Callithrix jacchus: one gene and its partner. The protein of the gene in region 1 interacts with the protein of each later gene in a pairwise test. Links are inferred from orthologs where the notes say so. Each region holds a gene or a part of one and is shown on either strand. Other genes may lie near its edges. The genes, in order: KLHL12 and TBC1D10C.

What was found.
Region 2: the proteins of KLHL12 (region 1) and TBC1D10C interact in binary tests that used the Homo sapiens proteins (3 or more experiments, as listed by UniProt). The two-hybrid records come from large-scale screens. The link is inferred for Callithrix jacchus from reciprocal best matches to the Homo sapiens genes KLHL12 and TBC1D10C.

Annotation. Positions count from the first base shown.
Region 1 is NC_133520.1:29,960,943-29,976,194, forward strand, and holds the start of KLHL12 (kelch-like protein 12), read right to left. Parts: upstream 10,621-15,252; coding exon 10,447-10,620; intron 8,971-10,446; exon of another isoform or gene 8,411-8,970; coding exon of another isoform or gene 8,291-8,410; intron 6,633-8,290; coding exon 6,402-6,632; intron 790-6,401; coding exon 636-789; intron 1-635. Other genes in the region: transcription and mRNA export factor ENY2-like, read left to right, coding at 10,607-10,630. UniProt on the Homo sapiens protein: Substrate-specific adapter of a BCR (BTB-CUL3-RBX1) E3 ubiquitin ligase complex that acts as a negative regulator of Wnt signaling pathway and ER-Golgi transport.
Region 2 is NC_133511.1:124,479,279-124,494,846, reverse strand, and holds TBC1D10C (carabin), read right to left. Parts: upstream 12,569-15,568; 5' UTR 12,305-12,568; coding exon 12,153-12,304; intron 11,425-12,152; coding exon 11,325-11,424; intron 11,111-11,324; coding exon 11,003-11,110; intron 10,916-11,002; coding exon 10,798-10,915; intron 10,609-10,797; coding exon of another isoform or gene 10,601-10,608; coding exon 10,494-10,600; intron 9,919-10,493; coding exon 9,853-9,918; intron 9,721-9,852; coding exon 9,531-9,720; coding exon of another isoform or gene 9,267-9,530; exon of another isoform or gene 9,142-9,266; intron 7,364-9,141; coding exon 7,209-7,363; intron 6,932-7,208; coding exon 6,575-6,931; 3' UTR 6,253-6,574; downstream 1-6,252. Other genes in the region: PPP1CA (serine/threonine-protein phosphatase PP1-alpha catalytic subunit), read left to right, coding at 14,790-14,844, 15,375-15,506.

The DNA of each region.
Region 1 (15,252 bases):
TGCTTGAGCCCAAGAATTCAAGGCTACAGTGAGCTGTGACTGCACCACTGCACTCTAATCTGGGTGACAGAGGGAGACCCTGTGGTAAAAACAAAACAAAAAAACCCAAAAAACCTGGGAATTGTACGGGAAAACAAACCATCTGTAATCCTGTGAAAACTATCATTTTTTTGTGCATGAATTTAAAGTTCATTTAACAGATATTCTACATAGTTCAAATATTTGAAGATACAAAAGGGTTTACCATGAAAAGTCCCCCTAGCCTCATTATCAACCTGGCTACTTAATGGCCAGGTAAATGAAGAGTATCCCTGTAGGCTATGTAAAATATCAGTTTTTTATACTTCTTACAGATGTGTTATATACATGTATGTAAGAAAATACATAATTTCTTCTTACATTTTTTTAAAAAAAAAAAAACATGCAAGTGCTCCTTTCATAGAGCCACATATGCATATCAGAAGTTCCTTTATACTGCTATTGACATCTGATTTTTTACTGCTTAATGAGACAAAAGGGATAGCCAGTAAACGTGAGCATCCAGTTTGTCTCCAAAATGGTCACGATTAAGTTTACACTATTAATTTTCAACCTTTCCAGGGCTATTTTGACATAGCAAGTTTTAATGTCTATACCTTTCAACTGAAGCAGACAGGCTGCAGGGAGTAGTTCTTGCACATTCTCCACCGTCACATGTACTGTTTCTGTGTACACAAAGTCCAATAAAATTTCCATAGTAGAGGCAGTCAAACCTTGGATGTCAACATAAGGCTTGCCCTTCTCTGAAAGCTGAAAATGTAAAAGGTATAAAAGAATGATGGTTATAATTCCACAAGATAAAGGCACAATCTCATATCTAAGAGCTTACAGATGTTAATAATATTAATTGAACATATATCTTTAAAAATTAAGGGCCAGGAGTGGTGGCTCACACCTGTAATCCTAGCACTTTGGGAGGCCTAGGCAGGCAGATCACTTGAGGTGAGGAATTCAAGACCAGCCTGGAAAACATGATGAAACTCCAACTCCACTAGAAATACAAAAATGAGTTGGGCGTGGTGGTACATGCCTATAGTCCCAGGTACTCAGGAGGCTGAGGCAGGAGAATTGCTTGCTTCAACCTGGGAGGTGGAGGTTGCAGTAAGCCCAGATTGTGCCACTGCACTCCAGCCTGGGCACCAGTGAGATTCTTTCAAAAAAATTTAAAAATTAAAAAAATAGGCCAGGCGCGGTGGCTCAAGCCTGTAATCCCAGCACTTTGGGAGGCCGAGGCGGGTGGATCACGAGGTCAAGAGATCGAGACCATCCTGGTCAACCTGGTGAAACCCAGTCTCTACGAAAAATACAGAAAATTAGCTGGGCATGGGGGCGCACGCCTGTAATCCCAGCTGCTCGGGAGGCTGAGGCAGGAGAATTGCCTGAACCCAGGAGGCAGAGGTTGCGGTGAGCCGAGATCGTGCCATTGCACTCCAGCCTGGGTAACAAGAGCGAAACTCCGTCTCAAAAAAATAAATAAATAAATAAATAAAAATAAAAATTATGACCTGTTTTGTTGGATTTGAATAAAGCAAATATGTCACATGTCTGTAGCTTTCCAAATGAAATGGGCAGTTATCTATACCCTCGGAGTAAATAATATGTGACACCTTCCTAGAATAGCAATGTTGCCAGTGAATAACTTTAAAAATCAATTTCATATTAAAATACAGACATAGGCCAGGCATGGTGGCTCACACCTGTAATCCTAGCACTTTGGGAGGCCAAGATGGCGGATCACAAGGTCTGAAGTTCAAGACTAGTCTGGCCAATATAGTGAAACCCCATCTCTACTAAAAATACCAAAAAAAAAAGTATCACAGAATAGAATGCAAAACTTCCATGAATATAACACTAGTCCATCAACTTTTAAGATAAAACACAAAATTTCTTTTCTTTGTCTTTGAGACAGAGTTTCACTCTTGTTGCCCAGGTTGGAGTACAATGACACATCTTGGCTTACCACAACCTCCACCTCCCGGGTTCAAGCCATTCTCCTGCCTCAGGTGCCGAAGTAGCTAGGATTAGACGCATGCACCACCATGCCCTGCTAATTCTGTAGAGACAGGGTTTCTTTATGTTGGTCAGGCTGATCTTGAACTCCCGACCTCAGGTGATCCGCCCACCTCAGCCTCCCAAAGTGCTCCCAAAGGCATGAGCCACTGCGCCCAGCTAAGACACAGAATTTCAAAAAAATTTCACATTTGTAGAGGACCTGTGGGTTATAACTCCAGTCTCTCCAGGATTACCTAGTTCCTATCATCTGTCCCTGGACTACATTTTTTTTTTTTTCTGGAGATAGGGTCTCGCTCTGTTGCCCAGGCTAGAGTGCACTGATGCGATCTCGGCAAACTGTACTTCTTCCCAGGTTCAAGTTATTCTCCTGCCTCAGCCTCCCAAGTAGCTAGGATTACAAGAGTACACCACCACACCCAGCTAATTTCTGTTTTGTTTTTTTTTTGAGATGGAGTCTCATTCTGTTGCCCAGGCTGGAGTGCAGTGGCACGATCTTGGCTCACTTCAAGTTCTGCCTCCCAGGTTCAAGCAATTCTCTTTCCTCAGTCTCCTGAGTAGCTGGGACTACAAGGATGTGCCACCACTCCCAGCTAATTTTTATATTTTTAGTAGAGGCAGAGTTTCACTATGTTGCCAGGCTGGTCTCAAAACTCCTGACCTCAAGTGACTGGCCCACCTCAGCCTCCCGAAGTGCTGGGATTATAGGCGTGAGCCCCCGTGCCCAGATAATTTTTGTATTTTTAGTAGAGACAAGGCTTCGCCATGTAGACCAAGCTGATCTTGAACTTCTGACCTCAGGTGATCCACCCACCTCTGCTTACCAAGGTGCTGGGAATACAGGAGGGAGCCACCATGCCTGGCCCTCAGACTACATTTAGTAATGATGAAAAAGAATATGCAGGTCATCCTAAGGGACTTTCTTATGTAACACCATCTGAATACAAATAAAGTGTTTGTTACTTTTTCAAAATATTGTTAGACTAACTGAATTGTTAGTAGTATATCTCCTTGAAGCTGTTGAGTATTGATGAGGCCAGATAATCATAGAAAACTGTTGAGCTAAGAGAAGAAATCTTCAACTTTAAAGGAGAGTAAATTATCTAAAAATACCTTATAAAAATTTTTACTGAATCTTAGTTTAGAAATTTATTTTACTAACAAAAATCTGGTGTACCTCCATTATGAACTAAATTGCTTTATCATGTTTGATTTCTCCGTCAGCCAGAGAATAACCAAAAAGCACTCTCTACAAAGCCAAGAACAAAATCAATCCCTAACAGTAAAAAAAGTCAAGAGCACATTATTTTGAAAAAACATATTAGGTTTTATTAACACTTAATACAGTACTAATATTTATAAACAATTACTGTCCCAACACATTAAATACATTCAATTATGATACTCCCAAAACCTAAAATCCAATAAAAAATTTAAAAAAAAAAATTATGATACTGAAATATGTAAGTACACGTATTCCAGAAATTGAAATTTCTCACTCAATAACCTATATTTCCATCAAATAGTTTAAATATTGATTAGAGCAATAGTACATTTCACATTTATATTTTGCTTTAGAATTTTTCAGTGCTTCTCATTTTCTACTATTTCATCTGATTCTCCCAACAACCTGGTAAGGTAGTTAGATCTGATATTATTACTACTTAAGAGATAAAGGATCTAAGAATCAAAGCAGATATAGGACTTAACCAGAGTCACTCAGCCAGTGAGAGACAGATATCATTGCTATCAAAGTATTTCAGAAAAAAAAAAGAGAGACATAAAACCCAGGTCCTCTTGCCTCAGTCCTGTGATCTTTCAATCAGATGACATTTGAGGAGCATTTCATGGCTGAAGAGAACAAGGAAACCATCTAGTTCAACTACTTTATTTTACAGATCAACCCAGTGAAGTTAGATGGTTGACAGGGTTTATACAGAATTGCTAAGAGAACTAAGCCTAGATTCCAGGTCTCTGGACTCTCTCCTTTAAACCAATTACTCTGAAAAATAAAAACAAAACCATCTGGCATTTTTTTGCCTGATGTCAAGTTTTATTATTATTATTATTATTTTGTCTTTTTGTCTTTTTTCCTTTTTGTAGAGAACGGGGTCTCGCTATATTGCCCAGGCAGGTCTTGAACTCCCGGGCTCAAGCTACCCTCCCGCCTCTGCCTCCCTAAGAGCTGGGATTACAGGCGTGAGCCATAGCGCCCGGCCAGCCTGATGTCAGTTTTTAAAGAAAGAAATCAAAAATGAGAAAAAAAGAATTAATTTCTGAATTAAGAGTAAAGACAGAATATTTTCAAGCTGACAAAAAACAGGATACACAATACATAATTAGCAGTCAACAGTTCTAGTTTATTTGATGCTCAGCAGCTGCTGGGTGACACTCTCTTTACCCAGGTAAATTCCAAATGCTTCTGATGCTCTTGGTATATCCCATGAAGAACAGTATAGGACAGGGATCTACCTTGTTTTATCACACAAGTTCATTTAAAAATTAGCCTGGATTAGCTGGAATGACCTATCAGTTCCTGTTTTCCCTACTAGCCATGTGACTGAGCATCAGCCCATAGTATTTTTAACTATACTGGTTTTAAAAGTAGACTGTAGGATATAAAATTCATACTTCAGAGACTAAGGCAGCATAATAGTTAAAAACCATTCCGGCTTTGGCCAGGTGTGGTGGTTCACACCTATAATCCCAGCACTTTGGGAGGCCAAAGCAGTCGGATCACCTGAGGTTGGGAGTTCAAGACCAGCTTGACCAACATAGAGAAACCATCTATAATAAAAATACAAAATTAGCCAGATGTGGCGGCACATGCCTGTAATCCCAGCTGCTAGGGAGGCTGAGACAGTAGAATTGCTTGAACCTGAGACAGGGAGGTTGCGGTAAGTCAAGATTGCACCATTGCACTCCAGCCTGGGCAACAAGAGCAAAACTCCATCTTAAAAACCAAAATTAAAAAAAAAAAAAAAAGTTTGGACTTTATAAGACAGAAAATATAGAATTAAATTCTACCTTGAGCACTTATAATCCATGGGAGTTTGGGCAAGTGATTTAATATATGAAACCCTGTTCCTTCATTTGTAAAAATGAGATGGTAATAACAACCCCTAGGGTGAGTGAGATATGCACAACAATCACTAGCACAGTACCTGGCCCATAAAAGGTAGTTATTACCATCATAGAATATGCCTCTCCCATCCTGATCCAGTAGCAATATCTTCACTAAGATGATAGAACTAAAAAAAAAAAAAAAAAAAAAAAAATACTTGTGCTTAAAAAGATGTTTAAAAAAGTGTTTTTGTAATAAACTATTTCAGGCATACATATGGGTGTAGATAATATAATAAACAGTGGTGCACCCATGACTGAGCTATGAAAAAAAAAAAAATCAAGGTAATTCATTTAAATCTGCTCTTATAATCAGACTTGGGATCTTGAAAAACAAAGGCTTGCAATGTTCCTTCCTGTGCAGCTTTCTAGGAGCACTGAACACAATATAGCCTTACTCCACATTTCAAGTATTTTGTCAGGCAATTACTAAGCAGTGTTTCTTAATACTTTGTTAGCACTACCTGTATTCTGTCACGTCACCTTTTTCCTAATTCCCTTGGTTAAATGCTTATGAGCTAACATCTTTTTTCAGGTGATGTACTCTATACCTGTACAGCTATTCATTAAAAACTCTTCTTCCTTTCATTTGAAGTTATCCTAAAATCTACACTGATTTTTCTTCACATATTGTTAGGAGGAATGGGGTGAGATCTGAATCCTACTCCTCTCTCCTTCCTTCCTTCTTAGCCCTCTGGTATTCACTTAAGAATTTTTAAACTTTAGAAGGAGAAAAGGCCAGGTGCAGTGGCTTACACCTGTAATGTCAGGTGTGGCCACTTTGGGAGTCCAAGGCAGGAGGAACACTTGAGCCCAGGAGTTCAAGATCAGCCTGGGCAATATATAGTGAGACCCTGTCTTTACAAATAAATAAAATTAGAAACAAAAAAAGGAGAAAAATTGGAAGACAAATTTAAGAAATAGTAAAATACAATAGCTGACATTTGTGCTTTACTACATATTACACCATTCTAAGCACTTCGTAAGTTATTTTATAAGGTAATCTTCACAATAACCTTAATAATCATGTGTTATTACATATTACTATTACCCCTAATTTAAAGATGAGGAAACTAAGGCATAGTCAGGTGGTAGATCTTATCCAGAATCTGCCTACTTAAACATCACACTGTAAAAATTCACAATTATATCACATTTTATTCAGTGAAATTAGACAAGTAGAGTTCAATGGGAGAGTTTCATTTGTGTGGGGCTAACTTACCACTTACCTCACTAGTGAACATGGCACAGAAGTAATCACTACAGGCAGCCAGCACAATCCGATGGGCAGGGAAGTCTTTATGCTCCACTCTCAATGTCACATCACAGAGGGTATTGCTCTTCCTGAGGGAGTTCATTGAATTCAGGATGGATTTAGCATGAGTATTTGTCATTATGTCTTTGGGGGCCATAATGTCACCCAGAAAGTGGTGCAGAGAAACAAAAGGGGTCCTTGGATTCTGCAATTACAAGAGAAAAAAACAATGAGCATATTCAAAAAACTAGGGAAACAACATATTTATTAGCTTTACAAATTGAGAATCTAAGGGGCTTCCTCAGACTCAAACATATACAAGTAGAAGGCACTCCTATACCTGACATAACCACCACTATCTAGCTACTATCTAGTCCATGTAAAAGTTCTCTCTTCTTCCTCCGAATTCCTCTATCATGGAGTGTCCCTACCACTTGACATTTATTATGATGAACGCTGAAATGTAAGTAAACAATCTATGTCCTGTAAATCTTCACAAGGTTCTTGTGTCAAATGATACAATGAAAATATAGGCCGGGTGCAGTGGCTCACGCCTGTAATCCCAGCACTTTGGGAGGCAGAGGCGGACGCATCACGAGGTCAGATCAAGACCAACCTGGCCAATGTGGTGAAACCCCATCTCTACTAAAAATACCAAAAAATTAGCTGGGCATGGTGGCACACACCTGTAAGGCAGGAGAATTGCTTGAACCCAGGAGGCAGAGACTGCAGTGAGCCAAGATTGCACCACTGCACTACAGCCTGGGCAACAGTATGCGACTCTGTCCCAAAAAAAATAATAATAAAATAAAATATAAAATTCCTTAAAGGTATTATATCATTACTATTTAATATCCATAAGTAGATAAGCATTTAGAGGGTGAAGATCCTGCTTTATATGTATGCTTTCTATCCTAGAAGTTGCACAATAAATGCTTAGAATTGAATGCAAAAAAAAAAAGTGTGTATTCAACTTAGAGCAAGAAAGTTCGGTAAAAATGTACTTTTCTAAAGTATGCAAATAATTACGTCTGATGACTTCCAAATATATCTGGATTTCTTCTTAAAGTGAAACTTCAGGCCCAGCCCAGTAGCTCACGCCTGTAATCCCAGGACTTTAGGAAGCTGAGGTGGGCATATCAGTTGAGGTCAGGAGTTCGAGATCAGCCTGACCAACATGATGAAACCCTGTCTCTACTAAAAACACAAAAATTAGCCGGGTGTGGTGGCACATGCCTGTAATCCTAGCTACTGGGAAGGCTGAGGCACGAGAATTGCTTGAACCCAGGAGGCAGTTGAGAATTGCTCCATCGAGTGAGCCTAGATCATGCCACTGCACTCCAGCCTGGGCAACAGAGCGAGAATGCATCAGAAAAAAAATAAATAAATAAAAAATTAAAAACAGCAACAACAACAACAAAAAACCAATTGAGGACCCATTACCTACAATGAACTGTGGAAACCACCCAAGTGGACTTACTTGCTTAAGCTATTGAAGCTCTTCAACAAGAAGGTATTCCTACTCTACATCTGTAAATGTCAATTACTGTTAACGAATCAATATTGGAATCCAAAACTTTCTGAAATGATCCAAGGTTGGGAATCAAACGACGGTCTCTAAAAGTCCACAACTCACAATTTTTCAATAGGAAAAATGAGATCTTAAATTCTCATTTACTTATGTTTATAGTTGGCATTTTACACTACAAGCACCATAGATAATCCCTCCAACAACTCTGCAAGACCAATTTTACAGAAAAGCAGGTGATTCATCAAAGCATATGATGTTTTTCAAGAAGCCTTAAGTCAATTTAATTTCAACTCCAGGGGTGTAAAAAGGGTCCGAAACAAATGTCTATTTACCTTGATGACAATCTGGGAGGGAGGGGGGTTTGTCGTTTCCACATCAAAATGACAGTAACCCTGGTGCAAAGTGGTCTTCCTTCTTGGGGATTCCTGCCTCACCACTCCAAGTCTCAGCATATCCTTCACTCTCACCTTTCTGAAGTGACCTATTTTCTAGAACTTCCGTTAACATCTGAATAGAGGGATTCCACTTCGGGAGATTCGAGGCAGGGGAGGGGCAATACATTCGGGAAAGACTAAATTCTAGAGAAAGAAACGAAGTCCTTCCCCCTGACACCAGCAGGCATACATATGACCAGCACCGCCAGGTGGAGGTATGCGGAGAGATGAGAGGGCGACCGAGGCCAGACGCCCCACGCAGCCTTCCTCCTATCCAGGGCGAGCCTCCGATTCCCTTGCAGGGAGACCAAGGATGGGGGAAGGGCCATAACCCGGAGTTGATGGACAGGAAGGGAAAGACTGACTGCCATCACTTCCGCGCAACTCACCTCAGCTCCCGTGCCCACACAGCCGCGCCGGGCCTGTCCCCAGCCTGTGGGGATAGGGTGGGGCGCAGGGCCAGCAGGCGGCTCACAAGGAGCCGAAGCGCCGCCGCCGCCGCCCAGACCCGGAGGCTCCGGAGGCTCTGGAGCCTTCGGGTCTGGACCCCGCGGCCGCGCGACGTGATGACGCAATGCAGCGTGAGGACCGCCCTCCTCCCGCCGCAGAGTCCGCGTCACGTGATGAGGCGGTGTCACGTGACCTGCCTTATCGGGGGCGGGACTTCTGTAAACTGCTATGAAGCCGAATTAGAAAAAGGTCAGGTGGCCGGGGCGCGGTGGCTCACCCCTGTAATCCCGGCACTTTTGGGAGGCTGAGGCGAGCGGATTACCTGAGCTCAGGAGTTCCAGACCCGCCTGGGCAACACAGCAAAACCCCGTCTCCACCAAAAAATTTAAAAAAAAATTTAGTCCGGCGTGGTGGCCTGCGCCTGTAGTCCCAGCTACTCCGGAGGCTGAGGCAGGAGAATCCCTTGAACCCAGGCAGCAGAGGTTGCCGTGGGCCAGGATCGCCACTGTTATTCACGTCTAATAATACCGAAAATTAAATGCATTTAATATAGAGATTTTCCAAACAGGCTTTGTGTGGGCAACAAGGACATTTTATTTCTCGCTTGGGTGCAAGCGGACCGAATCTGAGAAAGGCGAAGAGAGTAAGGGTGGGAATTGGTTCTATAAGTTGGGGTAATTTTGGGGGGCGAGGGTGTTGCAGAGTAAGATCAGTTACAGTGGTCGGGGGTAGTGGCAAGGAGTATACATGACCACAAGTTCAGTTACAATGGCGGGTTGAGTAAGGCGGAAGAGCAGTTAAGATGGCAGGATGGGGCAAGGAGCATTCACATTATCATAAGAGCAGTTAAGATGGCAGGATGGGGTGAGAGGTATCCACATTTAACATAAGAACAGTTAAGATGGCAGGGTGGGGTGAGGGGCTTGTCCGGGGAAGCTCTGCTGGGCGATTAGGGACAATGGCCAACGCAGGCGGTGGGGTGGGAGACAATTAGCAGAGGCAGGCAGCAGGCAGGACTTCAGACGTTCTGGTTCCAGGCTTGCATATGGAGACCTGACAGCCACTGCACTCCAGCCTGGGCCACAGAATGAGACCCTGTCGGGGGCGGGGGGGGAGGCGGGGGGGGCGGGGGGAGGGCTGGCATAGTGGTCAGTCCTGTAATCCCAGAGGCCAAGGCAGGTGGATCACTGGAGGTCAGGAGTTCGAGACCAGCCTGGCCAACATGGTTAAACCCAGTTGCTACTAAAAATACAAAAACATTAGCCGGGCGTTCTGGTGTGCGAATGTAATCCCAACCACTCAGGAGGCTGAGGCAGCAGAACCACTGCACTCCAACCTGCGCGACAGAGTGAGACTCTCAAGAGAGAAAGAGAAAGAAAGAAAGGAAGGAGGGAGCGAGAGAGAGAAAGATAGAAGAAAGGAAAGATGGAAGGAAGGACGGACGGTTGGGTGGTGTGGGGTCCGCAGGAAGCCTGGGAATATAGCTCTACAGCTTGGCGATTGAATGAGCCTGAGACCCTCCCCACCGCTCAGGAGGCAGAGCAGACGGAGAGAATTCTAAGGCTTAATATGCTAAACATCTGAATGCAGGAAGTGCGTTTTACCTTCCAGGTACTGAGGAACTTTTTGCTATCGAGAAAACCCACGGAGGCCTCAAATTTCTTCCCTTCCATTGTCCACAATGACCTCTTGGGGCCGAACAACGCTGCGCAAGAATCCTCTGAGCCCTGCGATCCACAGACCTCGTATATACTTTGCGTCATAATGGGGCTTATCATCACCACTAAGGTGATTTTACTTCTTTCACTCCAAGACAATTAAGTGAAAGGAACTTGTGGCCACTACAAGGTGGACATTAAGAGGGAAATTGGAAAGAATCTTCTTAGGGAAATCTTAGACAGCCTTATCACCACTGTTACTCCCCTGCTGACATTTCACCAGGCTATGGTTGCTGAAGGTTAATTTAAGAAAGTTCGCTTCTAACTGATTTTGGTGCAGTTAGTGTCTGAAAAGGCAAAGAGGTTAATTGGTTCAACTTATCTGAATGTCTAGACAACAAATTGGTAATACTATTTTCTTCTGTGAGCCCCCTTTTTCTTTCTTTTTTTGAGATGGAGTCTCACTCTGTTGCCCAGGCTGGAATGCTGTGACATGATCTCAGCTCACTGCAACCTCTGCCTCCCGGGATCAAGCGATTCTCCGGCCTCAGCCCCGCCCCGCCAGGAACTGGGACTACAGGCACGCACTATCACGCCCAGCTAATTTTTGTATTTTTAGTAGAGACTGCGTTTTGCAATGTTGGCCAGGCTGCTCTTGAACTGCTGACCTCGTGATCCACCCTCCTCAGCCTCCCAAAGTGCTCGGATTACAGGGATGAGCCACAGCGCCCAGCCCTTTCATTCTTAAGGATACTAAAACCATAGCCAAGTGGGCAGCATTCTAAATTTACATTGCATCTCCATCTTCCATGTCGTGTTTTCCTTGTCTAAAACTGTCCCTGACTTCCACATTGTAGAGAAGAATGCAAGATTGTTATAAAATTTATTGGGGGCATTTTGGAAATATTTGTCAATTTTAATAAAATTATTCACATGCACATGTAAGACTACATATGTAAAAGATATGTACTACATATGTACAAACTGCAGCATTGTTTGTAGATTAGATTGACAACAACGTTAAATGTCCATTAGTAGGGGACCAATTCAATGAAATATAGTACATCCATAAAATCCAATACCATGAAGCTGTGAACAATCTGTATTCTCTATTATTGGGTAAAAAGGTGGAAGATCACGCCTGTAATCACGGCACTTTGGGAGGCTGAGGCGGGCGGATCACCTGAGGTCAGGAGTTTGAGACCAGCCTGACCGACATGGAGAAACCCCGTCTCTACTAAAAGTACAAAAGTAGCAGGGCATGGTGGCACACGCCTATAATCCCAGCTACTTGGGAGACTGAGGCAGGAGAATCGCTTGAACCCAGGAGGCAAAGGTTGTGGTGAGCCAAGATCATGCCATTGCACTCCATCCTGGGCAACAAGAGGGAAACTCATCCCCCCCACAAAAAATAAAACGTAGAAGATATATTCATATTTGCTTGTGTGTGTAAACTGTATTTGGAAAGACAAAATAAAGTGGTAACATTGGTTTCTTTGGGGAGAGGAACTGTTTGGCTGTGAGACAGGGTGGGAAGGAGAGTTTTGCCCTTTATAATTTTTGTTTGCCTTTTGAATTTTTCATCATGTGAATTATAAATAATGTTCAGAGCCTGGTGCAGTGGTGGGCACCTGTTGTCCTATCTGCTCTGGAGACTGAAGTGGGAAGATTGCTTGAGCCCCGAAGTTCGTGACCAGCCTGGGTGACATAGTAAGACCACGTCTCAAAATATATTTATATGTTCAAAAATTTTTTTTGAGACGGAGTCTCGCTGTGTCAGCCAGGCTGGAGTGCAGTGGCTCGATCTCAGCTCACTGCAACCTCCACCTCCCGGGTTCAAGCAATTCTCTGCCTCAGCCTCTCTAGTAGCTGGGACTACATGTGTGTGCCACCACGACTGGCTAATTATTTTTGTATTTTTAGTAGAAACGGAGTTTCAGCATATTGGGCAGGCTGCTCTAGAACTCCTGACCTTGTGATCTACCCTCCTCGGCCTCCCAAAGTGCTGAGATTACAAGCGTGAGCCACTGCGACCGGCCTTATATGTTCAATTAATTTTTTTATTTTTATATGTTCAATTTTTTAAATGGCAAAAATAGTCTTGGTCCAGTGGCTCATGCCTGTAATCCTAGCACTTTGGGAGGCCGAGGAGGGTGGATTACCTAAGGTCAGGAGGCCAAGACCAGCCTGGCCAACATGGCAAAACCCTGTCTCTACTAAAAATAAAAAAAGTAACTAGTCATGGTGGCACACACCTGCACTTCCAGCCACTTGGGAGGCGGAGGCTGAAGAATCGCTTGAATCTGTCAGGCAGAGGTCACAGGGAGCTGAGATCCCGCCACTGCACTCCAGCCTGGGCTACAGAGCAAGACACCATCTCGAATAAATAAATAAACAAAATAAAAATAAAAAGTAAAAATAATTCCTTGTTTTCAGAATGTAAAATAGTACTTTAATGATATTGCCTAATTCCTGACTGCTAAATTAAGGATTTTTCCAAATATGAGAAGGAACTTAATAAAACAGGCTTTGTTTAGAGTATGCCCACTCCTTTTATTCACAAAATGAAAGATGGAGAAGCCGTTAGCAAGAAAGTCACACCAACGGAACGAGTTCAGACATCTTTTTTCTTCTTTTTTTCTCTTCTTAATATTTGTGAGTACATAGTAGGTATATATATTTAGAGGGTACATGAGAGGTTTTGATACAGGCATGTAATGTGTACTAATCACATCATAGAAAACTGGGTATCCATCCACTTAAGAATTTATCGTTTGCATTACAAACAATCCAAGTATGCTTGTAGTTATTTTTAAATGTACAATTCAATTATTGTTGACTATACTCACTCTGTTCTATCAGACACCAGGTCTTATCCATCCTTTCTACTTTTTCGGTACCCATTACCCTCCCCACCTTCCCACAACCCCGACTGTTCTTCCCAGCCTCTGGTGATCATCCTTCTGCTCTCTATCTTCATCAGTTCAGTTAGTTTGTTTAGATCCCACAAATAAGTGAGAATATGCGATGTTTGTCTTTCTGTGCCTGACTTATTTCACTTAACATGATCTTCAGTTCCATCCATGTTGTTACAAATGATAGAATCTCACTATTTTTAATGACTGAATAGTACTCCATCAAGAATAAGTACCACATTTTCTTTATCTGTTCATCTGTTGATGGACACTTAGGTTGCTTCCAAATCTTAGCTATTGTGAACTGTGCTGCAACAAGCATGGATGAGAGTGCAGGTATCTCTACAATACACTGATTTACTTTCTTCTCCTTTTTTTTTTTTTTTTGAGACACAGTCTTGCTGTGTCACCCAGGTTGGAGTGCAGTGGTGTGATCTTGGCTCACTGCAACCGTCCCCTCTCCAGTTCAAGTGATTCTTCTATCTCAGCCTACTGAGTAATTAATTGGGACTACAGGTGCATGCCACCATGCCTGGCTAATTTTTGTAGTTTTAGTAGAGATCAGGTTTCACCATGTTGGCCGGGCTGGTCTCTAACTCCTGACCTTGTGATCCGCCCGTGCTGGGATTACAGGTGTGAGCCATCGTGCCTGGCTGATTTACTTTCTTTTTGGTGTATACACAGCAGTGGGATTGCTGAATTGTATGATAGTTCTATTTTTAGTTTTTTGAGAAACCTCCAAACTGTTCTCCATAGTGATTGTACTAATTTACATTCCCACCAATAGTTTACAAGGGTTCCCATTTCTCCACATCATTGCCAGCACTTGTTATTGCCTGACTTCTGGATAAAAGCCATTTTAACTGGGAGGAGATGATAGCTTATGTAATTTTGATTTGCATTTCTCTGATTAATGATGTTGAGCACTTCTTCATATGCCTATTTGCCATTTTCATGCCTTTTTTTATTGCCCCATCCCCTTTTATGTCTTTTTTTGAAAAATGTCTAAATTGTTTGCCCATTTCTATTTTTGAATATTTATTTATTTATTTATTGAGACGGAGTTTCGCTCTTGTTACCCAGGCTGGAGTGCAGTGGCGCGATCTCGGCTCACCGCAACCTCCGCCTCCTGGGTTCAGGCAATTCTCCTGCCTCAGCCTCCTGAGTAGCTGGAATTACAGGCACGCGCCACCACGCCCAGCTAATTTTTTCTATTTTTAGTAGAGACGGGGTTTCACCATGTTGACCAGGATGGTCTCGATCTCTTGACCTCGTGATCCACCCGCCTCGGCCTCCCAAAGTGCTGGGATTACAGGCGTGAGGCACCGCGCCCGGCTTATTTATTTATTTTAAGACAGGTGTTACTCTGTCACCCAGACTGGAGTGCAGTGTTATGATCTCAGCTCACTGCAAGTGCTGCTTCCCTACGCCAAGCTCTAGCAGTGCTCCTACCTAAGCCTCCTGAGTAGCTGGTATTACAGGTGCCTGCTATGACACTCTGTTAATTAAAAAAAAATTTTTTTTACAAGAAGTCTCTCTATATTTCCCAGGCTGGTCTGGAACTCTGGACTCAAGTGATCCACCTGCCTCAGCCTCCCAAAGTTGGGATTACAGGTGTGAGCCACTGCACCTGGCCTTAACCATTTTTAAATCAGATTATTAGATTTTTTTTTTTTTGAGACAGAGTCTTGCTCTGTTGCCCAGGCTGGACTGCTGTGATCTTGGCTCACTGCAACCTCTGCCTCCTGGGTTCAAGCGATTCTTCTGTCTCAGCCTCCTGAGTAGCTGGGACTACAGGCACACATCACCACACCAGGCTAATTTTTGTATTTTTAGT
Region 2 (15,568 bases), on another chromosome or scaffold:
GCCTCATACCTGGGCTCCAATCCCAGTTTGCCAGGGCCAGAGTCGCCATGCCCTCTCCTAGAAGGTGAGCTCCCTGAGGGGCCACAGAGTGAATGAATGTCACAGGGCACTAAGAGTGCCCACCTCCCAGGATGCACCAGGTGGGGTTGTGTGGGGGGGGCCGGCCATGAGTCTAAGCTGTCTGCACAGGGCAGCCCCCGAGCTTAGGTCCTGAGTGCTGCCTGCTGTCCTCTGGGCCCACTCTCTGCCCAGGGACTTGGGCCTTTTTGGGGGAGGGACAACAGGAGACTCACCATCTCGTTGGTGGAGTGGCTGAGGGACTGATGGCAGAGACAGAGGGACAGAGAGACAAAGGAGTCAGGGCAGCCAGGTCCCTGCCTGGCCTTCCAGCCCCTAGACTTTGGGAGTGCAGAGGTGGCCGCCACTGCTCCTCTGTCCTGTCCCTGCAGATAGGGGCCAAGGGCCCACTACACCCCACAGCAGAGGAGTGATTTCTGCTGCCCAGACCGAGTGGCTCCTGCCCCAGTTCTCACAGGTCCTCACTGCCGTAGGGTCCTGGCTCTGCTCGGCCCCTCCAGCACAGGGAGTGGGGGAGGTGGGGGGACTTCCGGGTGTCTGGGGGGGGGGCGAGCCGTGTCCCGGGGATAGGGAACGTAGTGTCAAGTGTCCCGCTGCGGGACTCGGGCGCCCGGGGGTCCTCGTCCCGGCAACTCCTGCCCTGGCCGCCCCCCTCCCTGACTCTCCCTGGGGCAGGCTGGAGCCGGGGTACCTGGTGGGCGGCAGCGGCTCGGCAAGTGTGGCGGGCAGACTCGGACAGGGCGGGACGCAGCGGCGGCAGTGGCGGTGGCGGTGGCAGTGGCACAGCCCCAAGCCCAGGCAGTGCTGCCTTATATAGAAGCGCCTGGGGCATGCCCAGTGCCTGGCGGGGCGACGTGGGGCTGACGGACAGACAGGGACCCGCCCGGGACACACCCGCCCCCAAAACGTCCCAGACTTGGGGGTGTGGAGCGGACTTGGGCCTGGCAGGAGGAGGGCATGGAGCAGGCAGGAAGAGACGGTGATCTTCAGAGACACAGAGGAAGTCCCGACAGAGGGCCAGGTGCAGATGGACAGGGACAGTTGCCGAGGGTCACAGACTTAGGGCTGCCGTGAAGAAAGAGGGAGGCTCACCATGGAGAAGAGATGGAGAGGAGGGGCAGGGAGAGCCGGAGCAGGCAGAGACTGGTACTAGGGCTCGCCCTTAGGGGTGGGGTGCCCGGGAGAGCAGCCTGGGGCACAGCCCTGAGCCCTACCTTTGGATGGAATCTGGAGATCCCAGCCCCCAGTGCTCCACCCTACTGCACATTCTCCCAGAGGCCCTCCTGGGCCAGGGTCTCCGCACATCTGTGCAGCCCCCTCCTCACTTCTCCTGGCCTCAGTGGACTTGCACACAGGGGCGGGATGTTCATAAGATCCAGCCTCTCCTGGTGCGGTGGCTGCCTGGAATCCCAGCACTTTGGGAGGCTGAGGCAGGAGGATTGCTTGAACCCAGGAGTTTGTGACCAGCTTGGGCAACATAGCAAGTCCCTGTTTGTACAAAAACTGTTTTAAAATCGGTTGGTTGAGGTGGTATGGGCCTGTCATCCCAACTACTTGGGAGGCTGAGGTGGGAAGATCACCTGAGCCCCGGGATGGAGGCTGCAGTTAGTCCTGGTTGTGCCACTACACTCTAGCCTGGGCAATACAGTGGGACTCTGAGACCCTATCTCTCTCTTCTTCTTCTTTTCCTCAGGCTGGGGTGCAGTGGCACCACCTCGGCCCACTGCAATCTCCACCTCCCAGGCTCGAGTGATTCTCCTGCCTCAGCCTCCTGAGTAGCTGGGATTACAGGCGTGCGCCACCATGCCCAGCTAATTTTTGTATTTTTAGTAGAAAAAGGGTTTTGCCATGTTGGCCAGGCTGATCTTGAACTCCTGACCTCGTGATCCACCTGCCTTCGCCTCCTGAAGTGTTGGGATTACAGGTGTGAGCCTCCATGCCCGGCCAGACTCTATGTCTTGTCTTGTCTTTTATTTTTTTTTTTAAGGCAGGGTTTCACCATATTGGTCAGTCTGGTCTCGAACTCCTGACCTCAGGTGATCCACCCACCTTGGCCTCCCAAAGTGCTGAGATTACAGGCATGAGCCACGACGCCCAGCCGTCTTTTTTTTTTTTTTTTCGAGATAGAGTCTTGGTCTGTTTCCCAGGCTGGAGTGCAATAGCGTGATCGCTGATCACCACAACCTCTGCCTCCTGGGTTCCAGCAATTCTCCTGCCTCAGCCTCCCAAGTAGCTGGGACTAAAAGTGTGCACCACCACGCCCAGCTAATTTTTGTATTTTTAGTAGAGATAGGGTTTCACCATGTTGGCCAGCATGGTCAAGCTCTTGACCTTGTGATCTGCCCTCCTTGGCCCCCCAAAGTACTGGGATTACAGGTGTGAGCCACTGTGCCCACCCCCACTATCTCTTTAAAAAAAAAATCTGCTCTACTCATCAACACCACATCCTCAGTTGAAGCTACAGTCTCTCCAAGATACACATACTCACACCCAAGCCCACCCACCCAAATAGCCACAGAAGGGTACACCAAGAGACCTGGATCACAGCCACGATTTACCCCCAGCACACCCGCTCAGCCCCTCTCCCTGCCTGGCTCAGAGCTCGACACACATTGAGCCCCAGCTGTCCTTGGGAGCCCCTTGGCCTGGGGGAGAGTACTGAGGGGCCCACACACTGTGGGGACAGAGATGGCAGCTGTTGGATGCTTTCTGCAACTATATACAGGGCAGTCTGTGCAGCCATCCTGTCTACCACTGGAAGGGTCGGCAGGGAGGTGAAATGTCTTCTCCAGAGTGCCCCACCCAGCCCACATTCCCCACATAGCTTCCAGGTCCACCTGCAGCCCTCCCTGCACCCGGCCCAGGCTCCAGGAATGAGGTGCAGCCACCCCAGGAGACCCAATCCCTTGCTGCATGGGTGGTCTGAGCTCCCATGGGATCCTACTGTGGGGCCTGGGTGTCATCCAAAGAGCATGAGTTTTGACATTTAACAAGCTCTACAGGCCAGGTGCGGTGGCTCACACCTGTAATCCCAGTACTTTGGGAGGCCGAGGCAGGCAGATCACCTGAGGTCAGGAGTTTGAGACCAGCCTGACTAACTTGGTGAAACCCTGTCTCTACTAAAAATACAAAAAATGAGGCCAGGTGCAGTGGCTCATGCCTGTAATCCCAGCATTTTGGGAGGCCAAGACTGGCGGATCACCTGAAGTCAGGAGTTCGAGACCAGCCTGGCCAACGTGGTGAAATCCCGTCTCTACCAAAAATACAAAAATTAGCCAGATGTGGTGGCAGGCACCTATAATCCCAGCTACTCGGGAGCCTGAGGCAGGAGAATCATATGAACCCACGAGGCGGAGGCTGCAATGAGTTGAGATCGCGCCACTGCACTCCAGCCTAGGGAACAGAGCGAGATTCCATCTCAAAACAAACAAACCAACAAGCTCTGCAGCCCTGGGGACTCAGTTTTCTCTCTTCAAGTGGGGATACAGTGCACACTGAGCCCAGACCTAACACTGCACAGGCAAGGGAGCAATTATGAGACTCAGAGAGGTGGTGTGACTTGCCCAAGGTCACACAGCTGGTGATTGGCAGAGCTGGGATCTTCTGCCAGAATGCGTGCGTGCATGCACAGAGAGCTGTGTGGTTCTGTGCCCACTTTCAGGCCACCCTGGCTGGTCCCCACTGCACTGGATACAGGGAGGATAGAAGGAGGAAAATCAGAATTGGGCAGCTGCAGCCCCAGCTCAGGACCCTGGGACTTGGGGCAGGCAGGTGGGCAGGGTGGTTCAGCTCTACCCTTGCCAGGAAAGCCTGGACATCACCCCGAGGCAGAGCTGAGCCAGGTAGGGGTGGGGTGAGGAGGGGCAGTGCTTCGGCTGCTGCCCACCTGGACTAACAGTCGTCACTATCATCACCATCATCATGTGCTGGTAGAGCGGTCTTGAAGCTGGGGTGGGGGCATTATTATCCCGTTATCCACAGGAGAAACTGAGGCTCAGAGAAGGAGAAAGGGCTTTTCCCATGTAGGGGATTCCAAGTCTGATACCTCTGGGAGCCTGGAACGCTGTGGGAATTCAGGGAACCTCGAGTGGGTGGCAGAGCAAGACGGAGACCGTGGGTCCCCCCATCCATGGCGGGCACCCATTTGCCCCCCTCATTCCTTTGCATGCCCCCACTCATGTCCACGATGCATGCCCCACTCTGAGGCTGACAGACATCCCAGGGGCCCTCCCAGCATCAGTCCCCACACGCTGAGTGCTCTCAGATGCATCGCTTCCCTTCTCTGAGCCCCTTTCCAGGCAGGTCTCTAGGGCGTTTCTAGGGTCTCTGAGTACGGTTGCGTAGGTTGCTCACTGCACAAAGGCACCTGGGTGAGAGATCCCTCCCCACTCTGTTACACCGTGCACTGTGATGAGGCATGTTGCCTGGAGGAGAGACATATTTCCCCAGCTAGCAAAAAGGTGCTGTGGGGGCCGGTGCAGCCCTGCGGAGGAGGGCCTGTGGGAATGCATTCTTTTGAGGGTTCACACCAGGAGGGCACTGGTTCTGTCCGACCTGTGAGTCAGGGCTCTTGTGCAGAGGACTGATAACGAAACCTACAGCTGGGCTGCCAGAAAACAGTCTCCTGAGTAGGAAAGGCAGTGGCTGAGCCCCAGCTAGAGGGACCCTGCTGGAGACCACCTGCTCCTAGGGTCAGTGTCCAGAGTGAGCCACTGCCACCATGCCCCCGCAGGTTCATGACAGACCCTTGACCCAGGGCTGAGGCTGCTGCACCTTGCTCCCCTGTTCTCCCAGGAGAAGAGCTGAACCTGTGGAGGGTGGGGAGCTCCCAAGTGGACTTCAGGGACAAGTGCCCCCACCCTGGCCACCCTGCCTGCTACAGAGCCTGAGATTCCACCAAGAGACTCCCTGTCTACACAGAGCACTCCGGCCAGCTTTGCCTTTCACTGTGGGGCTGGGTGAGGTCCCTGGCCTCACTGATCCTGTGTGTCTCTAACAGGGATATCAGGGGCTACGTGCAGAGAGAGGGCCTGGTGTGCGGGGTGGTTCTTGGAAAGGGTTTTGTAAATTATAGGTAAGGGGGTTATTAATAAGTTGTACGCACCCCAATGGGGTGAGGAGGAGTGGGCGGAGGGAGGCTCTGGAGTGCTAACTCAGGAGTCCTGCTGCTGCCTCGTCTACACACTGGAAGGCTGGTGCAGCATTGGGGATGGGGGAGAAGGGGCAGGAGAATGCACCCCTCCCCAGGGGGCTGCCCAGGGGGGAGCTGCCAGTGGTCGGGGCAGGGGTAAACCTTGGGACTGCTATGAACAGTAAGGCTGTCTGCAAGTTCCTGCTCCTCCTCAGCCTGTTTCCCCCAGAGAAATGACAGATAAGGGTCTAGGCCACCATGATTCCCTCTTCCAGGAACCCAGGGCCTGGCACTTACCACACAGACACAGCCTGTGGCCCTGTCGAAAGAACATTCCAAACCCAGAGTCTGACAGGTGACTCCACTGACACCCACCCGATGGACAGCCCCGGAGCCTGGGCCTGCAGATGCCTCCTGTCCATTAGAGTCCTGCTGTGTTCCCCAGAGAGGGGAGGGCACTTGGGAACCGGCCCCATTGCCCCGGCAATGGCTCAGGTCCTGGGCACCCACGGGGGCAATTAGTGAGTGTAGGATGGGGTTTCCATGGTGGCGGTCCTGAGGGGGCAGACGCGGGGCTCTGGGAGGGGTGAGGGCCGGCGGGACCTTTCTCCTTTGTCCCAGGCACACTGGGCCTTTGTTCTGCCTGGGTCCCTTTGACAGATGTGACCAGGACCATGGGTGCGGGGAGGACTTGGGTTAGAGTCCCCATCCCAGAGAGTCCGGAACCACCCTGGAGGGAGGGAAAGGAGGGCAAAAGACGGGTAGAGCCCCTGGGCTCACCATCCTTGGGGCGCCCCCCTTCTACAGGTGCAAAAGCCATCCCTGTCCCCAGAGGCTGGGGGAGGGACACTTTCAATTGGCTCTTACTACTACTGTAAACACCTAAACACCTTCCCCAGCAGCCAGTGGGCAGCCTCGGTATGTCCCCAGGGTGGGACCATGGCAGGACCAGGAGAGTGCGAAGCTGGGAGGGGGCAGGTGAGAGAGGAGGGGAAGGGGCTGCCTGTTGGAGGTGGGAGGAGGGCATTTTATCCAGCACCATCTGAGGCATCTGTTCAAGATTTTATTCCTGGAGCTCTCTGGGGTCCCTCGGCCCAGCCGACCCCTTCCCCGACTTGTTCAGTGCTGGCTTTGGTACTCGTGAGGGCCTGGCACCAGGATGGCTCCATGGGTCCTCACGTGCCCCACTCTGGGACCCCCCCCATGCTAGTGCCTCACCCAGTATGTACCACAGAGGACCTCCTCCTCCTCCGCCTAGTCCTTGCCAGGAAGGAAGCTGAGCCCCCAGGTCCCAAGAGTAAAGTGCAGGGCTGGGCATCAGCCATCAGGTGATGGAGCCTGGGGGACACTGAGTCCATGGTCCTCTCAGAAGCGGGTGTCCAGGAAGGAGGTGGAGCTTCGTTGGGGCCTGGGGGGTCCCTCGAGGGGGGGGCCTCGGGCCCGAGTCAGGAGCCCATGGAAAGTCTTGCCTCGGGTCTGGGGTTTCCGCCGTGGTGGTCTGGGCTCCTCTGGGGGCTGCACCACGATCCGAGGCACCTCAGGCTTGGCACCTGGTTGCGCCCCTGCCAGCTGCTGGGCCTCGAAGATGGCTTGGGCCCCGGGGAGGCGGGCCTGTGGCCGGGGTGGGGGCCCCGGTGCAGAATCGGGCAGCTGGGCCAGCTGGGCCAGCTGGGCCTTGATTTCCCGCTGCAGGTCCCGCTCCGACAGCACCACGCCGTGAACCTGTGGGGAATTATTGGTGCTGAGTTTGGTCGGCCTCAGGGCAGAAACAGGAAACTGTGAGGTTCCCAGTCCCGGAAGTGGCTGAGGACTGAGGGGCTAACAGGCAGCCTCACTGGGGAGCCATAGACAGCCTCTGAAGGCCTGGGGTTTTCATGTTCTCAGCTGCTCAGGGGACAGGAACTAAGCCCCCATTCTCACTTTGGCTTCCTGCCCTGGGACTCAGTTTCCCCCGTGCAGCAGGGACTGGGCCAGTTCTCGGAGAGGCGGGGGCACCCACCTGAGACATGAAGACCTCCTCCTGCAGCTGCGTTGGGGAGATGGCTCGAAGGGCTCCCAGTGTCTCCAGGAGGCCAGGGCAGGCTCTGCGCTGCTCTGCAGTGCCCAGCGCCAGGCGCACCAGCGTCAGCCCCACACGGAACAGCACTTTGGCACCTGTGGGCCAGGGGCTGGCTCACTCCACAGTTCTGCACCCAAACCTGCTCTCAGCCGTACATCTGCCACTTTCCTGCAGCTCTGCCCTCCCCGGTTCAGGAGCAATAACAGAAGGTGGGGTTACATTTCAGGTGACACAGGCCACTGCACTGGCCAAGTTAGCCTCAAGAGCCACAGATGCTTTGGGGCAGAGTTAATATCTTTCAAATTTGGTTACTGCCACCTCCCATCCCCGCCGCCACCAGAATGAAGGTCTTGATCACTTGATTCTCAGATGCCAGATCCACGTCTAGAGCCAGTGAGCGCCTGGCAGGTGCCTGTGAGCTCCAGGGAGAAGCACCTTCTCCCCTCCCTCAGCCCATCAAGCTTCCATGTGCTGTGATCACCCAGCTCCTGCCCCAGGCAGCATCCAGGTGACAGGTGATGTGCCACCAGGCACAGGGCCATCATCTTCAGCACACCAAAAGGGAACCCCAGAGCTGGTGAGCTAGTTCCCCACCCACACCTCAATGCTCCCGCCCCCACCAAGCCACCAGCTTCCTTCCAGGAGCCGGGGGCTACTGGTGAGTTCACACCAAGCCCTCCCTGGGCCCCAGCTTGCTCATCTCCACAAGGAACAGGGAAAGGTGAGGTGATGCCCTTTAAGACCTTTCCAGCTTGGATCTGTGACCCTCTGATTCTAGAAAGACCTAGGCAGAACTGCTCTCCCCTAAGCCAGGAGCATAGCGCTCCCCACACATGTGACCTTGGGCTAGTCCTGAAGCCTCAAAATCCCTTCCTGGCAGCCTCTGATCTGAGAAGAGCCACCAGGGCACCAGCCAGGCTGAGTGAGGACCGTGACCGTCGAGGAACAATCACTACTCATGCTATTGTCCTTCTGATAAGGGATCCTGTGCAGGGTTTTCCTGTAGGTGGACGGGTCATGCCCTGCCCAGCTCTGCCCAGCCCTGTTCCAGGAGTGACCACAAGGATAGCGACTTGGACGTCTGTTGCCAGAACTCGGCAATGGTCCTCCCACTGGGTGGAGGGCAGGAAGCCAGCTGAGCACCCGAATGACACTTAGTATGCATGCTGACTGATTTCTGCCACGTTTTTTTAAGGTGCAACCTCCAGACCTCACATATAGAGCAGAATGCAGGGGCCGGGCACGGTGACTTAACGCCTGTAATCCCAGCACTTTGGGAGACTGAGGCAGGTAGTTCATGAGGCCAAGAGATCGAGACTATCTTGGCCAACATGGTGAAACCCCATCTCTACTAAAAATACAAAAATTAGCTGAGCATGGTGGCATGCACTTGTAGTCCCAGCTACTCAGGAGGCTGAGGCAGGAGAATCTCTTGAACCCAGGAGGTGGAGGATGCAGTGAACAGAGATCGCACCACTGCACTCCAGCCTGGTGACAGAGCAAGACTCCATCTCAAAAAAAAAAAAAAAAAGAACAGAATGCAGGTGGGTTGCTGATGGAGGTATTGAGGCGGAGTCTGAAAGACACAGGTAGTCCAGCTTGGCTCTGCCCTGACTCCCCACCCGCTCTTGGCCTGGCCTCCAGCATCCCCCTCTCTGGCTTCACAGCTCCAAGCCCTCTCTCCTGCATTGACTGTAGCCTGGCCCCTGGGGACAGTGGCTTTCCTGGCCCCAGGCCTCTACAGAGACCCCTGTGAGTCCTCCCCCTGCACAGAGCAGCCAGCAGCAGCTGAAATGCAGCCGTCACCCTGCACTCCCCTGACACTCCCTGTCATATCCCTCGTTTTATTTTCTTCATGGCACTTCTGACAATCTATAAATATCTTGTGAATTTGGTTACTGTCGCCACCCACCCCCACCCCCGCCAGCATGAAGGTCTCAATCACTTGATTCCCAGCTGCAGATCCACGTCTGGAGCCAGTAAGCACCCAGGAGGTGCCTATCCCTGAGCGGCAGAGGCCTCCACGGGCTGTGATCGCCCACTTCCTGCTTCATCTGCCTCCCTGGAAGCCTCCCTGGCCAGCTCAGCACCAGGTGGTGCCTGGGTGATGGGTGATGGGTGATGTATCGCCAGGCACCAGGTCAACAACTTCAGTACACCCAATCCGTGATTCAAGGCCCCAAAAGGGAACCCTGGGGCTGGTGAGCTACCTCCCACCCACACCCCAAGGCTCCTGCCCCAGCCCCTTACTGCCCCACTCACCCTCACTGAGGAAGGCATCCCAGACACGCAGCACTGTGGGGAAGGGCAGGGAGCGGGAGAAGAGGCACAGGAACCACTCCGGCAGGTAGAGCAGGGGTCCGACGCCCACCTGCTGCAGGTGCTTGTGCACGTGCGGGAGCAGCCGCCGCAGCAGAGCCATGAACACCTCGGCGTCCAGCCGCACGGCCTCCTGTGGCATGTCCATCAGCTGGCCAGCACTGTCACTCCCAGAGCCCAGGCTCTGCCTCCCTCAGTCCCCCAACCCCACCCACTCACCAGGGCCCTGCCCCTCCTTCCTCCAGCCCCCATGCCAGCCTCTCACCATGTGGGGCCCGTAGTAGCCAGGGAGGTAGACCTCACAGATTTGCACCAGGCACCAGAAGGCCTCCTGGGGAAGGGGCAGGGCACAGGTCTATGAGTGCCCACCAAGGAAGCCACCGCGAGAGGAAGGCAGGATGGAGGAAGGACTGAAGGGGAGGGCCTGGGCACCACAGTGGGATCAGGGCCATTCAACCTGCTCAGCTCCTGGGAAGCCCTTGCCAAAAGCCCCCTCCTCTGCCCAGGACAGGGCCTGCCAATGGGTTTAGGGTGTTGGAGTCACAGATTTGAGGATGAGAGTTGGGGTTCACTGGCCAAGGTTTTGGAGTATCCCAAAGTTCAAGTCATGGGTTTCTGGGGTCATTGGGGTTGGGGTCACACTCCCTAAGTTCAGAATCAGGAGTTGTGGGGTCAAAGTGATGACATCCAGACTCCCAGGTGACTAGGGTCAAGGCTGAGGTCAAGGTTCCTAGAGTCAAGGTCATTAGGCTGGAAGGTCACTGTGGTTGGCAGTCATGAGGCCCTGGTCACTAGGACAGGGTCTAGGGATCAAGGATCCCAGGTTTCTGAGGCCACAGTTCCTGGGGTTGGGGTTCCCTGGGCCTAGGTCACTAGGGTTCCCAGAGCAAGGTCAAGGTCACTCACCTCTGGGGGCAGGTGCATGAGCAGCACAGCAGCCACAGGCCCCTGGGCCTGGCAGTAGCCCTGCTCCGGTCGATACAGGGTATAGGCCTTGAGCACGTGCAGGAGCCCTTGCTGCCTGTGCCAGAAGACCCCATAAGGGGCCGGTCCTGCAGGCACCCCTTCTCCGCCCTCTGGTGGCCTCTGCCCAGGCCTCAGCCTCCCTGGGCCTTGCTGGGTCCCCTGAGATGCAAAACTGTAAAGCTGGGCTGGGGAAAGTGGGCCAGAGCACTTGGGGCTCGTGGGGCTGAGGGTCCCTGGGCATCACCTGCCTCGTACCCGTGGCCCTGGGGTGACACAAACATCTCGTGCAGGGGGAACTGGCGGTGCAGGTCCCTGCCAATTGTCTCCATCCACTGTGGGTCTCCAGGGGCCTCTGCCAGCTCCTGTGGGTAGCCGGGAAGGTGGGTGTGAGGGTTCGGTGTGGTGCGTGCTCTGGGTAAGGGAGCTGGAGCCCCTGCCCACTCCCTCACCTGATAGGTGCCAGGGTTGTTCTTTTGGCATACATGGGCCCCGCACAACAGGGGCCAGCACCGGGCACGCAGAGCAGATGGGATACCTTTCCGGCACTGCATCTTTACCTGTGGGCGAGGCCGAGGGCTCCGCTAGGCAACCTCCCTAGCTCCCGCTGGCAGGCCCCAGGCACAGCTCATCAGCAGGCAGGGGCCCACTCTGGGTGGCAGGGAGCAAAGGCAGGAGGTGCTGGGACCCAGGGTGGGTACATTTTGCCAAGATGTGGGCCAAGGCAGAGAGGAATGAGCCATGGAGACCAGTGTGGGGCCCCTGTCCTCTCACCTTCTTGTACCTCCGGGACATGGTTTTCTCCCAGTGAGAGGTCATCTCCACCCACTTCATCTCCCGTTGGCGGATGAGGTCTGCAGGGGGGTGGTCCGGCCTGGGGGTGCGTGGCACAGGTATCCAGGAGCTCGGCAGCTGTTACCCAGGGCCCACGCTGCCACCCAGTTGAGCCCAGCTCCTGGCCCCAGGGATCTCTGGGAGCCCTGTGGGATGACCTGTGACCCAGGAGCTGCTAATGCTTGTCAGGGGGACAGGAAAGGATGTGGATCCAATGTGGGCAGAAGCAGGAGACTGAAGAGGTGAGTGGGTGTATGTTGGGGGAGGAGCAGGCTGGCTGTCACGCAGGACAGGGACACAGACAATTCATAGAGGAAGCTGGCTGCCGAGAGCCCTGGATTGGAAGCCCGGAGTCCTGAGTTTGAGTCTGGGTCTGTCTCTGATCCCCTGTGTGACACAAGTTTCTGTATAGATGTGAACTTGTGTTTCTGTCTGCAGCTTGGGGAAAGGGGGAAGGAGGAGGTGTGGGTTCTGGGACTTGGATCTGGGATTCCTGGGCCAGAGGTTTGAAGGGGAAGGATATTCTGCCCCAGCAGTGAGTGAAACCCTCAGGGGTTGGGGGTAAGAGATGTACAGAGGCCTCCCCCTACCCTTCCGACCTTAGGTTCCACCTGGAGCCTGCAGAGGGGTGATACTGGCTGAGTCCCCCTCCCAGTCCCTACCACCAGACCCTCCCAACCTCCCTGAGTTAGGCCTCACTACAGAATTCAGCCCTCCCCCGGCATCCTCTGTCCCAGTATCCCACCATCCCTCACCCTGCCCCCTTACCCTGGCTCTGCTGAGCTGCCCCCAATGAATCCATAGCGGTCGGCCTGGCGATATGGGCCAGGCCCGCTGAGTTCTGAGTCCGACCCCAAAGAGCTGGAGTCATCCTGCAGCCCGGGCGACTGGACCAGATCCTCCCCCAGGGCCTGGGCCATGGTGCCCTCAGCCTTCAATGCCACAGGCAGAGAATGTGGGGAGAACCAGTGTGAGGGACCACTCTGGCCAGGCTGGGGCCTGGCTGCAGGGTCAGAGCTGAGAGGTTTCAGGGTATCTCACCAAGCCCCCTACGTCTCCTCTTTTATGGGGGCGGGGGCTAGGCCCCACACTGACTGGGTCTCTGTCTGGAGACCCAGCCCCAGGCCCAGCCCCTGTCCCCACCAGCCCAGCTCACCTCCGGCAGCACCTCACCTCCTCCTCTCACTTCCTCCTCCTCACACAGCTTTGGCAACCGCTGGGGGCCCCTCCCAAGTGTAGGGAGGTGTCACCCCTTCCTCTCTGACTCTTCCTGCTTGCCCCAGTGCCCCTGAGCTGTGGGCTCCTCCCACCCTCCCCAAGCTACAGGCTTGAGATCCTATGCTGGGTGTGTAGAGCCCAGGCCTGCCTCACCAGGAGGCCACCCACCTCCAGTTTGTTTGTTTGTTATGAGACAAAGTCTTGCTCTTTCGCCTAGGCTGGAGTGCAATGGTGCGATCTCGGCTCACTGCAACCTCCACCTCCCGGGTTCAAGTGATTCTCCTGCCTCAGCCTCCCAAGTAGCTGGAATTACAGGCATGCCACTATGCCTGGCTAATTTTTGTATTTTTTAGTAGAGATGTGTTTTTGCCATGTTGGCCAGGCTAGTCTCAAAATCCTGACCTCAAATAATCTATCTGCTTTAGCCTCCCAAAGTGCTGGGATTACAGGTGTGAGCCACCACGCCTGGCCTTCATGTTTCTTTTTTTGAGAGAGTGTCTCACTGTTACCCCGGCTGGAGTGTAATGGCATGATCTGGGCTCACTGCAGTCTCCACCTCCTGGTCTCAAGAGATCCTCCTGCCTCCCTGGCAGCTGGGACTGCAGGCATGCACCACCATGCCCAGCTAATTTTTTTTTTTAATAAAATGGAACGCTTCACGAATTCATGTGTCATCCTTGTGCAGGGGCCATGCTAATCTTCTCTGTATCGTTCCAATTTTAGTATATGTTCTGCCGAAGTGAGCACAATTTTTTTTTTTTTTTTTTTGATACGTTCTCTCTCTCTGTCACCCAAGCTGGAGTGCAGTGGCGCCATCTCAGCTCACTGCAACCTCTGCCTCCTGGTTCAAGTGATTCTCCTGCCTCAGCCTCCTGAGTAGCTGGAACCACAGGCACGTACCACCATGCCCAGCTAATTTTTTGTATTTTTAGTAGAGACGGGGTTTCACTGTGTTAGCCAGGATGGTCTCAATTTCCTGACCTTGTGATCTGCCTGCCTTAACCTCCCAAAGTGCTGGGCTTACAGGTGTGAGCCACGGTGCCTGGCCAATTTTTGTGTTTTGTGTTGAGACGAGGTTTCGCCATGTTGCCCAGGCTGGGCGCAAGAGATCATTATGCCTCAGCCTCCCAAAGTGCTGGAATTACAGGCCTGAGCCACGATGGCCAGCCCACCTCCAGTTTTGAGGTTACTGGTGTGTAAAGCACCCAACTCAGGGTTCCAACAGTAATTACGGTTCATGTAATGTCTACTCTTTATAATTCTTTTTACGTGCACACCCTGCAATATTACTGTGCTACTCAAAGCTTATTATGGGGCCAGGTGTGATGGCTCAGGCCTGTGATCCCAGCCTGGCTAGCATGGAAACTCCCCGTCTAATAAAAATACAAAAATTAGCGGGCGCGGTGACATCCGCCTGTAGTCCCTGTTACTCTGGAGGCTGAGGCATTGTCATCGCTTTAACCCAAGAGGGGAAGGTTGCATTAAACCAAGGTCGCGCCACTGCCTTCCAGCCTGTGGGACAGAGCAAAACCCGCCTCAAAAAAAAAAAGCTAATTATGGGACTTATAAGAAAATATTAATTTAGCATGCCCCAAGGACCAAAGTGCGCTGGGAATTCTAGCTGTCTTTGAGTGTGGTCAGCCGCCTGGGGGCCACGGAGACCCACGAGGAAGGGGGTCCTCGGTGCAAGCGAGGTCCAGGTCTTGAACCAGCCTGTCGCTATGTCTTGAACCTCAGTTTCCCTTTCTGCATTTGGAGAAGTTAACCCTCAGTGCGGGGCAGCCGGTTATTAACGTGTTCACGACACCCTCCACCCAGGGCAGGGGTGGGAAGGGCTGTTCAGCTTTTGAAAGAGAAAAACAACTTCCACATTCCTTCCGGCCCCACATCCTCGAAACGGAGCTGGGCGCCTCCTCTCGGGCGTAACTAGCCTCGGCCCCGCCCCCGACAGACACCGCCCCCAGCCCGCCGCCGAGGCCCCGCCCCCTGGGCCTCCGCGCCTCACATCCAGCGGGGGCGCTAGAGCGCGGGGGGCCGGGCAGGGCGGGCCCGGGAGGCCCGGAGGCGGAGCGGCGGGCCGGGGGCGGACTGGGGCGGGCGGAAGGAGAGCCAGGCCGGAAGGAGGCAGCCGGAGGGCGGGAGACGGGAGCGGGCCCGGAGCTGCTGGACTGGAGCGGCGGCGCCGCCATGTCCGACAGCGAGAAGCTCAACCTGGACTCGATCATCGGGCGCCTGCTGGAAGGTTGGCCGGGGTGGGGAAGGTCCGCGTCCGCCGCGCCCTGGACCCCTGCCCAGCCCGGAAGTGGCGCGCGGGCGGGCCCCCGGGGCCAGCTTAGACTGGGCGGGGACGCGCCGCGAGGTTCCGTGGCCGCAGCCGCCCCCCCCCGCGGACGCGCCTGAGAGGTCCGGGGCCGGCTTCGAGGCGCGGAGCAGCCCCCTCTCCCCGGCCGGGGGCTCACGGGTTGCCTCGGCTCTTGGGGCGAGGGAGAAACCCGGGAAGCCCGGTCCAGGGAGGTGTCTTGCGCTGTGAGGTTTTGGGCGGCAGCCCCCTGCGCACGACAGTCGCCTCCCGAGCCTTTGAGGATAACTAGGGGGGCTTCCCTTGGGAGGCTTGAGGCCGACGTCCCAGGAGGCTCAGCAGCAACAGCTGCCTCTGGGCAAGGAGGGGCCGAGGAGGCCTAGGCGCCCCCGGAGGTATCCACGGGGCCACCGTGTCGCCCACCCTCCCCCTGTCTGAGAGGCCAGGGTCCTGACTCCGCATTGCGCCCCCAGTGCAGGGCTCGCGGCCTGGCAAGAATGTACAGCTGACAGAGAACGAGATCCGCGGTCTGTGCCTGAAATCCCGGGAGATTTTCCTGAGCCAGCCCATTCTCCTGGAGCTGGAGGCACCCCTCAAGATCTGCGGTGAGCAGCCCCCAGCCTCGCCCAGGCCCCTTTGGCTTCCTAAAAGTGGCACTGGCCCCCAC